Nothobranchius furzeri: one gene and its partners. The protein of the gene in region 1 binds, or shares a complex with, the protein of each later gene. Links are inferred from orthologs where the notes say so. Each region holds a gene or a part of one and is shown in the gene's direction. Other genes may lie near its edges.

What was found.
Region 2: the proteins of pola1 (region 1) and prim1 are in contact, whole or in part, in a cryo-EM structure (PDB 7OPL), measured with the Homo sapiens proteins. The link is inferred for Nothobranchius furzeri from reciprocal best matches to the Homo sapiens genes POLA1 and PRIM1. Residues at the interface, in NP_058633.2 of Homo sapiens: Tyr439, Ala440, Pro447, Glu448, Lys449, Ser450, Phe876, Thr877, Thr878, Gln880, Leu906; in NP_000937.1 of Homo sapiens: Asn92, Thr93, Val94, Lys95, Leu96, Gly97, Ala98.
Region 3: the proteins of pola1 (region 1) and prim2 are in contact, whole or in part, in a cryo-EM structure (PDB 8G9F), measured with the Xenopus laevis proteins. The link is inferred for Nothobranchius furzeri from reciprocal best matches to the Homo sapiens genes POLA1 and PRIM2. Residues at the interface, in NP_001082055.1 of Xenopus laevis: Leu842, Lys853, Ile894, Pro895, Glu896, Leu971, His974, Arg977, Glu978, Leu981, His982, Glu985, Gln988, Lys989, Asn991, Glu993, Asn1007, Asn1009, Arg1101, Asp1102, Glu1106, Gln1109, Glu1221, Asp1224, Gly1225, Asp1227, Ala1229, Leu1230, Met1233, Trp1234; in XP_018121015.1 of Xenopus laevis: Pro34, Pro35, Thr36, Glu37, Asn38, Ile39, Ser40, Leu41, Ile42, Phe44, Glu45, Ile49, Ile107, Phe110, Ile111, Leu114, Cys117, Gln118, Ser119, Glu120, Asp121, Arg123, Ala240, Arg241, Leu243, Val245, Val246, Gln247, Arg251, Leu252.

What each region holds. Positions count from the first base shown.
Region 1 is NC_091747.1:54,858,487-54,862,134, reverse strand, and holds part of pola1 (DNA polymerase alpha catalytic subunit), read left to right. Parts: intron 1-582; coding exon 583-714; intron 715-3,648. UniProt on the Homo sapiens protein: Catalytic subunit of the DNA polymerase alpha complex (also known as the alpha DNA polymerase-primase complex) which plays an essential role in the initiation of DNA synthesis.
Region 2 is NC_091755.1:56,472,115-56,476,534, forward strand, and holds the start of prim1 (DNA primase small subunit), read left to right. Parts: upstream 1-1,508; 5' UTR 1,509-1,631; coding exon 1,632-1,740; intron 1,741-2,298; coding exon 2,299-2,456; intron 2,457-2,530; coding exon 2,531-2,637; intron 2,638-2,718; coding exon 2,719-2,792; intron 2,793-2,868; coding exon 2,869-3,005; intron 3,006-3,972; coding exon 3,973-4,031; intron 4,032-4,106; coding exon 4,107-4,216; intron 4,217-4,328; coding exon 4,329-4,420. UniProt on the Homo sapiens protein: Catalytic subunit of the DNA primase complex and component of the DNA polymerase alpha complex (also known as the alpha DNA polymerase-primase complex - primosome/replisome) which play an essential role in the initiation of DNA synthesis.
Region 3 is NC_091752.1:19,604,058-19,607,705, reverse strand, and holds part of prim2 (DNA primase large subunit), read left to right. Parts: coding exon 1-19; intron 20-273; coding exon 274-459; intron 460-3,648. UniProt on the Homo sapiens protein: Regulatory subunit of the DNA primase complex and component of the DNA polymerase alpha complex (also known as the alpha DNA polymerase-primase complex) which play an essential role in the initiation of DNA synthesis.

The sequences.
Region 1 (3,648 bases):
CCCTAATACACGCTCGGTATTTATGCAGGAGAGAGAGAGAGAGAGAGAGAGAGAGAGAGAGAGAGAGAGAGAGAGAGAGAGAGAGAGAGAGAGAGAGAGAGAGAGAGAGAGAGAGAGAGAGAGAGAGAGAGAGAGAGAGAGAGAGAGAGAGAGAGAGAGAGAGAGAGAGAGAGAGAGAGAGAGAGAGAGAGAGAGAGAGGAGAGAGAGAGAGAGAGAGAGAGAGAGAGAGAGAGAGAGAGAGAGAGAGAGAGAGAGAGAGAGAGAGAGAGAGGAGAGAGAGAGAGAGGGAGAGAGAGAGAGAGAGAGAGAAGAGAGAGGGAGAGAGAGAGAGAGAGAGAGAGAGAGAGAGAGAGAGAGAGAGAGGAGAGAGAGAGAGAGAGAGAAGAGAGAGAGAGAGAGAGAGAGATTTATAGTCTTGACATGACCTCTACAGTCATCGTCCAACCTGGATTAAAACAAGACGTCAACACGAAGAAGCTGTTTAATGCACCAATTATGGGACTAATCTACGATTAAAAAAAAAAAAAAAAAACACCAAAACTCTGGCAGAATATTAACTAGACGGGTGTGTTTTGTTTCAGGGTGACAGAGTGGAGCCCAGCTTGACGCGCTGCCGTCACATCCCCTGTGGGAGTCGACCAATCGACTACGTCGTCAACATCAGCAACAGGCTGCTTCTGGATATCCGCCGGCACGTCAAAAAATACTACTCTGTGAGTGATTAGCAAAATGCTTCGTTAGCTGGGCTGCGTGTTTGCAAGTTTGAGTCCCAGCTTTAGCTTTTCTGCATGGAGTTAGCTCAGTTGTCCTCACTCCTGGGCCTGTAGAGCTGGTATCCAGCATGTTTTCCTTGTTTCTCTGCTCCAATACACCTAATTCGGTGGTTGAATCACCTGTTCAACAGGCCATCAGGTGCTTCAGAAGCCTGTTAATCATTTGTTGATTGAAATCAGGTGTGTTGAAGCAGAGTTAAAGCTAAAACAAGCTGTATACCAGCTCTCCAGGACCAGTAGTGAGGACCGCTGAGAGCTTCATCATTATCATCATTTAAAAGGGACATGTGATCCAAAAATCACCTTTTGCATTTTGCACTGCCACATGGGTCTCTACTGCCTCTGTAAACACTTTAAATGTGAAAAATCTCATCCGTTAGTGTTTGGTTTTAGGAATTATAAGCCTAAACAAATTTCTAAAAGTCCCCATTTGTGATGTCACAAACAGGGAAGTCTTGCATGTAAGAGAGCTGCTGCTGCAGGAGCAGCGGCTCTACTGAGTCTCTTGGCTTGTAGCAGCTAAATGGGAAATGGGTGGGTGTGGCCAACTCCAGCTTGTTTTCTTAAAGGGGCATTATGGAAGTTTGACAGCCATAACATGTATAGAAATAATAAATGTCTTCTTCATACATTCTCCTGCAATGCCCTGGTCCTGCAGAATGAGCCCTGGCATTTTTACTGTGATTGCCTGTTTTTCTGTAAAATCACAGAAAAGAGAGATGCTCGGGTCGAGCAGGCTGCTTCATGCGACGGTGGCACAGGAGTTAAGTGCTCGCCTCGCAATCGGAAGGTCGCAGGTTCGAGACCCGCTCAGTCTGTCGCTGTCGTTGTGTCCTTGGGCAAGACACTTAACCCACATTGCCTGCTGGTGGTGGTCGGAGGGACCGGTGGCGCCAGTGCTCGGCAGCCTCGCCTCTGTCAGTGCGCCCCAGGGCAGCTGTGGCTACATCGTAGCTCATCCCCACCAGTGTGTGAATGTGTGTGTGAATGGGTGAATGACTGATTGTGTTGTAAAGCGCCTTGGGGGGTTTCCAGGACTCTAGAAGGCGCTATATCAAATACAAATACAGGCCATGCGCGTTCACGCTCAGGCATAGCCCTCCGAACCATTCTTAAGTGGTACTGATTCAAGTGACGTCACTAGCGCGTTAGCTCGCCTAGTAAGACGTCAGACTTTCGTGCAGAAGACCGGGTTCGATTCTGGATGTGAACATAGTTTATTTAGAGTTTCTTTTTTACATTAATGGTATATTTTTTACAGTAAGATGCCCAAATTTTTGTTTGAGACTCGCCGAACGGCATTGAATTCACAGATAAAAAGATGTGGGTTCAACTTTCCTTTCGGAACAATTTTTCAAGAGCATGCCGGAGGACTGACCCATCATAAACCTTTGTCGGCTGTGCTGAAGAGAAAGGTACAGAACCAAATTATTTAATTAATTAGCTGCGCGTTCTCCTGTCCCCTGTCCTCCGGGCCACACACACACACACACATGGAGCTGACTGTCTCAGCTGTTATTTTCGTTAAGGAGTGTGCACGTACAGCATGCGCGCCTCGTGCACGAGCCTACTATTGAAGCTGCCGTTACGCTTTTGGCCCGAGGGGGCAATCGCGAGCATAAAAATTCAAAACTCCGTAAAGTCCCTTTAAAGTGACAGAGCCAAGAAACAACTCATTCTGGAAGGTAGTGAAAAAGTTCAGTTAAAAAACTGCTGGAGTTGCTTAATTTGACAGAGATTTAGTGCAAAGTACTGAATCAAATGTTCTTCATCAACCATAAAACTTTTATAACTAAGAAAAAAAAGTTTTTTTAAGTTTTAAAGGATTAAAAAAGCAGTGAATGGGAAGGAACTATTTTATTAATGAGGTCACAAAATTTAGATCAACCAGTTAATACATCCCAAAAGTATTTTATAAAATAAATTAAAATCCAGTTTTTTAAATAAAATGAGATTTACTATTATTACCTTGAAACTTAATATAAAGGTAAAATAAGAAGGTGCAAAACAGTTTTTGCTCAAATTTTCCTAAAAAGAACACCCAATTAAAGAATAGAATGAGTTAAGACTTGGTAAAAGTTATTAAATGAATAAACAAAACACAGGTAAACTGATATGTTTAGTTTTTTTTTTCCATTCAAAAGTCAGCTGCTCCCAGGCCGTTCTACAGGCAAGGCCCCTTCTCCTTGGTGCGTTTGTCTCCGTGTCCCTGTGATGGACTGGCATGTCGTTATGTCCCGGATGTCCCTGGCCTCTCAGCCAATGACCTCGCGACCCTAGTGAGGATAAAGCAATTCTGGATTAACCTGTAACTCCATAATTTGTTCACTCGGAACAGCCGTAGTTTAAACTCGCTGATATCCTCACGTAAACTCTTATTTGATGGGATTTGAGTCCACAGAGGCTCCATGCAGACCCCAGCAGCACAATAAGTATTAATATCCATAAACTCTTGAATTAATTTGGTCTCATCTGGACAAAAAAAAGCTGAAACGGTCGGAGCAAAAAAAAAGTGTGTGTTATAATAAAATGTCTTTGTGTCTGTATGAAATGTTTAAACTGTGTTTAACTCAACAGGGGTTGCAATAGATGCAGTAATGTTAAGAGACGCCATCACAGAGATGTTAGACCTCAGCAGGGCAGCGGGCTGACATTTTCAGCCAGAGATCACACTGTGCAGAGAGAAAAAAGTGATGTGTGGTGGCAGAATAATACCTAAATTACCATTTATGGCTTCAACTTTAACCAGGAAATGCATACGCAGTTGTTTGGATGACGAGCGCTTCAGAGCCGCAACTATTTTTAAACCATTTCTTTTATTCAGGAAGTCTGTTGCAACAATTAAAGTGTGCACATTAAAAAGCGTGCAAAAAT
Region 2 (4,420 bases), on another chromosome or scaffold:
TCTGGGCTGACCTACCTGATGGTGCGTGCGGCGCATCTAGCGGCTGTGATGCACATTTTACGCATTTGGAGAGGTGGGTTGGATGCTTTGCTTTACTGGCAGATGGATTTTTTTTTTTCAAAAATGTCGGAGATTTTGCCCCATGAATAACCGTTAAAACCACCGGTGTGCATGTACCCTTATGAAAGAGTCCTACGTTGAGAGGTAAATATTAGAAGTGCAGGTAATGCATTCTGGTGCCTATAAATGAAAAATGAATGAAACATATCTATATAAAAAGGCTGCGCAGCGGCACAGTCGTTAGAGCTTTTGCCTTGCAGCAAGAAGGTCCTGGGTTCGCTTCCCGGCCTGGGAACTTTCTGCATGGAGTTGGCATGTTCTCCCTGTGCATGCATGGGTTCTCTTCAGGTACTCCAGCTTCCTCCCACAGTTCAAAAACACGACTGTTAGGTTGATTGGTCTGTCTAAATTGTCCCTAGGTGTGTGTGTGTGTGTGTGTGTGTGTGTGTGTGTGTGTGTGTGTGTGTGTGTGTGTGTGTGTGTGTGTGTGTGTGTGTGATTGTTTGTCTTGTGTGTCTCTGTGTTGCCCTGCGATGGACTGGCTCTCTGTCAAGGATATACCCCGCCTGATTGCCCGTTGACCGCTGGAGATAGGCACCAGCCCCCACCCCCCCATTCGCAACCCTGCATGGACAAGCAGGTTCAGAAAATGGATGGATGGATCTATATAAAAATAACAAAAATACAGAGAACAAATAGATTAAACATACTCAACAATCAACTTCTTGTATAATTCTATTTAACCCAGCTCATCAACATAATGATCCAGTAGATGTTTTTTGTAGCTCTTGATTTACCTTTACACATTTTTTGCAGCATGGATAGTGATTGTAGATTACTCAGGTATGTGTTTCCCCAAACTTCCACACAGTAATTCAAGTATGGCATTACCAGTGATGAAAACAGATTTATCCTAAAGATATAATTTCGTATGTCACAAATTTGACTCAAAAAGTTTATTTTGAAATCACAGGTTGGTGCGGTTTCATAGTTCGCACCATTTAATTCCTGGTGGTTTTAGCCGCGCTTCCATGCGGGCGGAGTCTAGTAGCAATAAATACCTCGAATGTTAAAAATAGAAAAGGCCACATTGGTCAAACATTCATGCAAGCTATTTGAGATGTTAATATTGTTTTATATTGCATCTGTTTCTATTAGCGAAGTTTCCCCTCTCAGTTGATCACAAATACAACTTCCTCCCCGCTCGTTTTGACTTCCGCCCGGCGAATCAAAAGAAGCAAACCCTACCATCGACATAAATATACTGGACATCTCCATTCCAAAGTCAACCCAGGGCCAAAAACTTAACGCTTTATAGTCTTACTTTATTCACAGAAAACCTTGAGTTCCATTCAAGTTGAACTCTGTAATGTTATTTTAGTTTAGGAAAATAAATAAAACGTTTTCATGGTACTTCCTGTTATTTGTGACGTAGTTGTCGCAGTTGTTTGTCATCACTGTTTCTTTCGAGTTTTCCCGCGCTGTCCTTAGCTAACCAAGCTGTCAGCTTGACTGAAGAGCAGCAGTAACATATACCTAGCTGCACATTAGCTTGGCTTTACTACATTATAATGCCATCTTCAGACTACGACTCCGCTTGTCTGCCGGACTTATTACCGCTGTACTACCGACGACTGTTCCCCTTCTACCAGTATTACCGCTGGCTTACCTACGGAGGAGGTAACTTCACAAACAGACCAGAACCACGAGCAAGCGTCAGACCGGGCTGTTAGCTTGTCTTCTGTGATTTAACTAGCTATATATGTAATTAGGCTAGCTAGCCTTCTATGCTGAACTTCAGGGTTTGTGGATTTTACGTTTGCTTCCCCCTGTGTAACATTTGAGATGTATTTACAACTGTTACAGAGCTTTTCAGAGCGTTTGACTTATGTTACGTTTAAACAAGGATTCACTTTAGTAAGACAGCTGCTAATTTATTTAAGGAAAGCAGCTTGTTCCCAGTATTCAAGAGTTGATGAAGACCTGAAAAAAACAACAATAAAGCCTGGGTAGTTAAACGTCACCGTATTTTATTGCACTGATAAATTCAGATAAGATTAAGTAAAATTTTTCTGGAAGACGTTGATTTTATTAGTAATGAAACTTTACAGCGATTATTTTATATGTGATATTTAAACAAAAGTTTGTCACTCATTAGAAAAGAGACAGATTTTGCTTGATTGCCTTTATGAAATAAACACATACAGTGTTTATTTGTCCATTTTCCCACATTCTCAGTGCAGAAGAACTACTTCCAAAACCGAGAGTTCTGCTTCACGCTCAAAGATGACATCTACGTGCGCTACCAGTCTTTCAGCACGCTGAACGAGCTGGAGAAGGAAATGCAGAAGATGAACCCTTATAAGATTGATATTGGAGCAGTGTACAGTCACAGGGTAAGACTTTATTCTGGATCAAATCATGTTTACTATCGTGTAAGTGTAGTAAAGTCACTGTTTGTCATCAACAGCCTAATCAACACAACACGGTGAAGTCCGGCAGCTTCCAAGCTCTAGAGAAGGAACTTGTGTTTGATATTGATATGACAGATTATGATGATGTCCGAAGCTGCTGCAGGTGATTATTTCTAGTTCTGAGCCTGTTCAGAGTGTTCTGGAGGACAATCTACCAAAATGACCTTTTCAAACTTCGATCCAGTGCTGCAGACATTTGCACCAAGTGCTGGACGCTGATGACCATTGCTATCCGCATCTTGGACAGAGCGCTCAGAGGTGTGTCCCTGGTCTTATGTCAGGCATGTGTTTATTTTGAATCAAATCAGATTGACATTTTTTATGTTTCTCCCAGAGGACTTTGGCTTTCAGCACCTGCTGTGGGTTTATTCTGGCAGAAGGGGAGTTCATTGTTGGGTGTGTGATGAAGCTGCCCGGAAGCTCTCTGCTGCAGCACGCTCTGCTGTGGCTGAATATCTCAGCCTGATCAAGGTAGCAATGGTTTTACCGGTATTAGGTGATTTTAAAGCAAAACTCCAAGATTATTTAAGTCTTTTAAGCAGTCCTAGAATTTAAAACCACATTTATCTGGTTGTTGTTGTTGGATAAAGGCAGCTTGGGGGTGTCTAGTGTAGCATACCAAAATGTCTGTGCTGTTGCTGACCTGCTTTCCTATGTAAATTAATAATGCTGTAACGGCCACAGAGAAATGGTTCGTTTGGAGAAAAGCTGGTTTAACACGTCATTAGCACGACACACACCCTAAAATCTGCAGGTCCCAACCTAATCATTGGTCATGATTAGGGGTGTGATGGTTCACGGGGCGGTGTTGAACCGTTTCAGTTTGGTCCACTTGCGTATTGTTTTGGTTTAACAAAGAAGAATGTTGGAGCACCAATCACATTCCAGGATATAATGGGAGTATCCAGATTGTGAATGAATGAATGCTAGATTAATCCATAGCCTGCAATCTGGTCTAACAGAGTACAGCCACACACACACACACACACACACACAGACAGATAGGCAGATCGATCCACATCTTGCAGTCCTTGTTCTCCTGCTTGTTTATCTGCAAAACCTGCTCCTCAACCCATTTGAATCTCTCTTTGGAAAACACTCACTTCTTTACTCGTTTGTCTGCACTGATAGTAACACACACACACACACTCACACACAGGTCACAGACTTACTTGCTTCAAGAAATAAAGCTATTGGGGTGCGTTGGTCAATTTTTCTGGGTTCCTGAGCCCCAACAAAGTTTCATGGGATATATTAAGGCTCAAATAATAGTTTCCAATCGTTAAAAAAATTACTTTTATCTAGAACCCCTTTAAAGTTCAAATTCAAAGCCACTTAACAGCTGCTCCCATAACTAAAAGCTGCTTATTTATTGGTTTCTGACTAACATACAGTACAGTTGTATGTCCAGATGTGATTTCTAAATGTAACCTTTTAGGGTGGTGAAGATACTGTGAAGAAAGTAGTGCTGACAGATCCAATTCACCCCTTTATCAGGTAAATATACGTTTGACTGTTGTTTTTGTCATTGCTGCTTCTGTTTGTGGCTTCAGCTGTGTCTAATCCCACCAGAGAGTCTTTGGCAGTGGTGGAGCACTTCTTCCCTCAATACGCGCTGCAGGATCAGGACATACTGGCCCGCAAAGAGTCTGTAGACAAAGTCCTGGCTCTAGTTCCTGATGATATCCTTTCTCTAACGTGCTTGCTCAGTAATTTCCTGAATATGAAAACCAGCTGAATTGATATGATTTTTAAAAAGCAGTGATAATTATGAGGCCTTAATTTGTTCTGTACATGTAAAAAAAGAGTTACAGCAGGACTTCCAGAATGAGAAGAAATCAGATGTTCGTTGGAAACTGATCAAAGACCAAGCCCGAAAGAAACAG
Region 3 (3,648 bases), on another chromosome or scaffold:
TTTGGAACAGATTGATTCAGTAAGTTGCACTAATCGTCTCTGGTTGAAACGCAAACTTCAAGGTTCATTTTGTATCCCAGATATGGAAAAAGACATTTCATAAGCCTATTAAAATGTTGCTGCAATGTAAGCCAAAGGTGGTCCAAAAAATATTGATTTCCGTGCCTCCCATGACAGCAGTGTTATTATTAATATTACTAATCATTCACAGGCACACATTCATGTTTGCTGCAAATGTCTTTATGCAAATCATTAACATTTGAGGGCTTTTAGCTTTCAGGAAAATCATTCCCGCTCTGCATGAGGCAGCTCCACCAGGCCCTTAGAGAGAACCACCACCTTCGCCACGGAGGGAGGATGCAGTACGGTCTCTTCCTCAAAGGCATCGGCCTCTCTCTGGAGCAGGCTCTACAGTTCTGGAGGTCGGAGTTCATAAGGGGCAAAGTGGATGGAGACAAGGTAACTTACGTCTCACAAGCATTTACCTGTAATGTTAAACTGGTTTGATCTGTGCGTTAAACACCACGGCAAGACTGAACAAGGTTCTGCATCTCAACTGTTATTCAGATCTTGATGGAGGCCGTTAATTTCAGAAAGCTTCACTTAATGAAGAAAGTTTACCTGTGTTATTTGTTCACAGTGGTGATATGACTCTAATGAAGAGTAAAGTGGGTATAATTTATTACAACTTGCAGGAGACAGAAACGGTTAAATTAAATAGTTGTGCATGAAGAAAGCCTCCACGGAGACGGCGCTGACTCGGCGTGCAGCAGCAACCCTAAAGAACAAAAATCATTTCCTGCTTTTCAAATCAAAACGAATCACGCCAATTAGTCTTATACTGCTTTTAAAAATTAAGTTACATGAAAGCCTTGTCGCGTTCTATAGAAAACTACTTCTGACTAGATTGTGTCGTTTGTATTCCAGGCATCAACACGTACGGCGTTAATTTTCTCAGTTGAGTCATTTGACAGTGGCAGATGTGTTTGACCGAGTTCCACTCGCGTACATGGATCTAAAGTCCGGGCTTATAAATGTCAATGCATTTCTTTATTGACTGAAGAAAATAACTTCCTCTTAAATGGGTAATTGCTCAGGTTGTATCGATTTTTCTTTTACAAACATGTTTGTACACCAAAGACTATTAAAGACAAATCACACTCTTCATCTTGCCAGGCTGATCGTCGGCGTGCTCCTGATTCAGATTTTACTTTGTTCATACATTTCCTCCCTCTATTCAGGATGCAGACACTTAAAAACTGTATTTATGTGGTTTAAAAGTCCCGTAGATGTTTTTCTGGAGAATTTTTTGCTATATTGTTTGAAATGTTCAAAACACCAAAAGGGCGGGGCACTTTTAGATTATTTAAATTACATTTAGCTCTGTTGTCGTTTCCTTTTTACATGCTGCTGTGATCGGGGGGCTTTTGGTCATTAGTGGTCAGACGGTGCTGATAATTTGGTGCAATAATGTTCTTTTCAGAAACGATTACACGATTGATGATTTACCCTTTGCATGTGATGTCACGCCGCTCATGGGACCACCCCCTTTGCCATTACAGATGGTGGAAACACTGTTTACACATGTTGAAAATCCATTGATGCTAGTCAAAACAAGCCATTTTGTAGCCTTTTATTGGTTGAAGTTAGTTGATTTCACAGTAAAATGGAAATAGTTTGGTGCACAGTTGGCTCCACTATCAGACAAGGGTGTAAACTCAACAGAAAACAGGAATGAGCTGCAGTGATCAATCCAGCGGACTAGCAGCCGCCAAAGTTTTTTCAGATTTACAGCGAACACGTGATCATGACACGACCCGCTTTTCGCTGTCCACACATTACTTGCGAGACACATGAAACAAACATTCCAGAATCAAATTTGAAACAGAATAAAATATTTAGAGCCAAGTGCTTTCATTTTTATCATTATTTTCAAGTTAGGGGAGATTAATGAACCTAATTTTAATCATCACTGCTAGCTGGACAGAAAGCTGAGCTAAGCTCCAACTCCTGATGCTGAATAGTAGAATTAATTAGCTGCTCTTCCAGTAAAGTGCTGACCATTTGTTGGTTTTGGATAACTTTTTACAGACGTCTCATCCAATCTGATGCCTGAGATAGAATCAGGGTCCCGATATAAGCATGTTCTGATGGATTAAGGTCACTTAGTGCAGTCAGCTTCTGTTGTCTTTGTGTCAGAGGCTGCTTGAAAGATTTGGTACAAGGTGACTATGTCAGCATATCTCTCTGATGGATGTATTTTAATTTGTGCAATTTTGCCTTTTGTGAGGTTTGTTGAAGAGTTTTAGGACAGAAAATTTTACTACACATCTAAAGTGCAAAGCCTTGGCCTTCAAAGAGTGCACAGGTTTCTTCAGGACATTGTTTAGAGGATTACTGAGAGGGTATTGAATTCAGTAGTCTTCATATTTTTGTTCTTTTTTCTGTTTATTTTTGTGTCGGGCTCTTTCTAAGCCTTAATCTCTCATCATGCATATCCAACAGTGTAACCTAGCTGTACAAGAGACTTTGATACCTCTTAAGAGGCATTTTCTCTGATCTGAAAAGGCTTTGCTGCAGCAATTTGGACGTTAGCCTCGGTTCTCATTGGATCAAGTTGCCATTGGATCAGAATTGTGCAGTGTTGGACGCCCAGCAGTTTTGTGAATCTCATGCAGCAGAGCATGCAAAGCAGGCGAAAAGATGTCCAACACGCGGGTAATGGACGAGTGCCATGTCCACACCATTCTGCATGATAATGCACAAAATATGAAAAAGTGATGGATGACACTGGAGGGATCTAAAGATGGAGTGCATGACATGAGGTTTCAAGGGCTTCTATCCCAGCACAGCATCACCGATACATTCATACATCACATAAAATCAATACATGGATTTAATTGATCTCTTTCTGGGTAGTATGGGATCGACTCGTCATTAACAAACTTTTGTTTGCTTGTGTCTAATCTGAAGCAAACTAGGGCTTGATTGGTGTGCATGTCTTTCATTTCTATTTAATTTCCAATATTCTCATTTGCTGAAGCATTTTGTGTTGTCTTTAAGAATAATAATAGGAAAATAAGAAAATCTTATTTTAGCGTCTTTTGTGCTGCCGTGTGGGTTTCTAAACACCTGAAACAAAAAAATCCCATTCGTCTGTTTTCTCAGTTGTTCGGTTTAGGAATTATGTGCCTAAAATGAGACAATTAAAAAGACTTCCCGATTGTGATGTAACAATTCGGTAAATTAACATAGAACCACCCCTCACCTTCCAAGTTCCCACCTACCAAAATCGCTGAGCATCCAACATTTTTGTTTACCGAGACGTGGAGCGACGCTCCCAGCAATAATTGGGAATAATATTTGTGCAAACGGGGACTGGGTGATATGACCACAAATCAGTATCATGACATACTGAGCACTTCACCTCGATAACGGCAAATGGACGATAACCACCCATACAGCTTCACAGTGACAGCGATGGCGAGAAAGATTTAGTCGAGGAGAAGCCTGTTCCTACAAAAAACCTTTTAACAGTTTGGCAACATTTTGGATTCAGTTGCTGCCGCTGGCATTCGCTGGCCGCTACCCAGTGCACCCACCCACTGCTTCAACATTTGAATCATACTCATTTTCCTAACTGTAGTT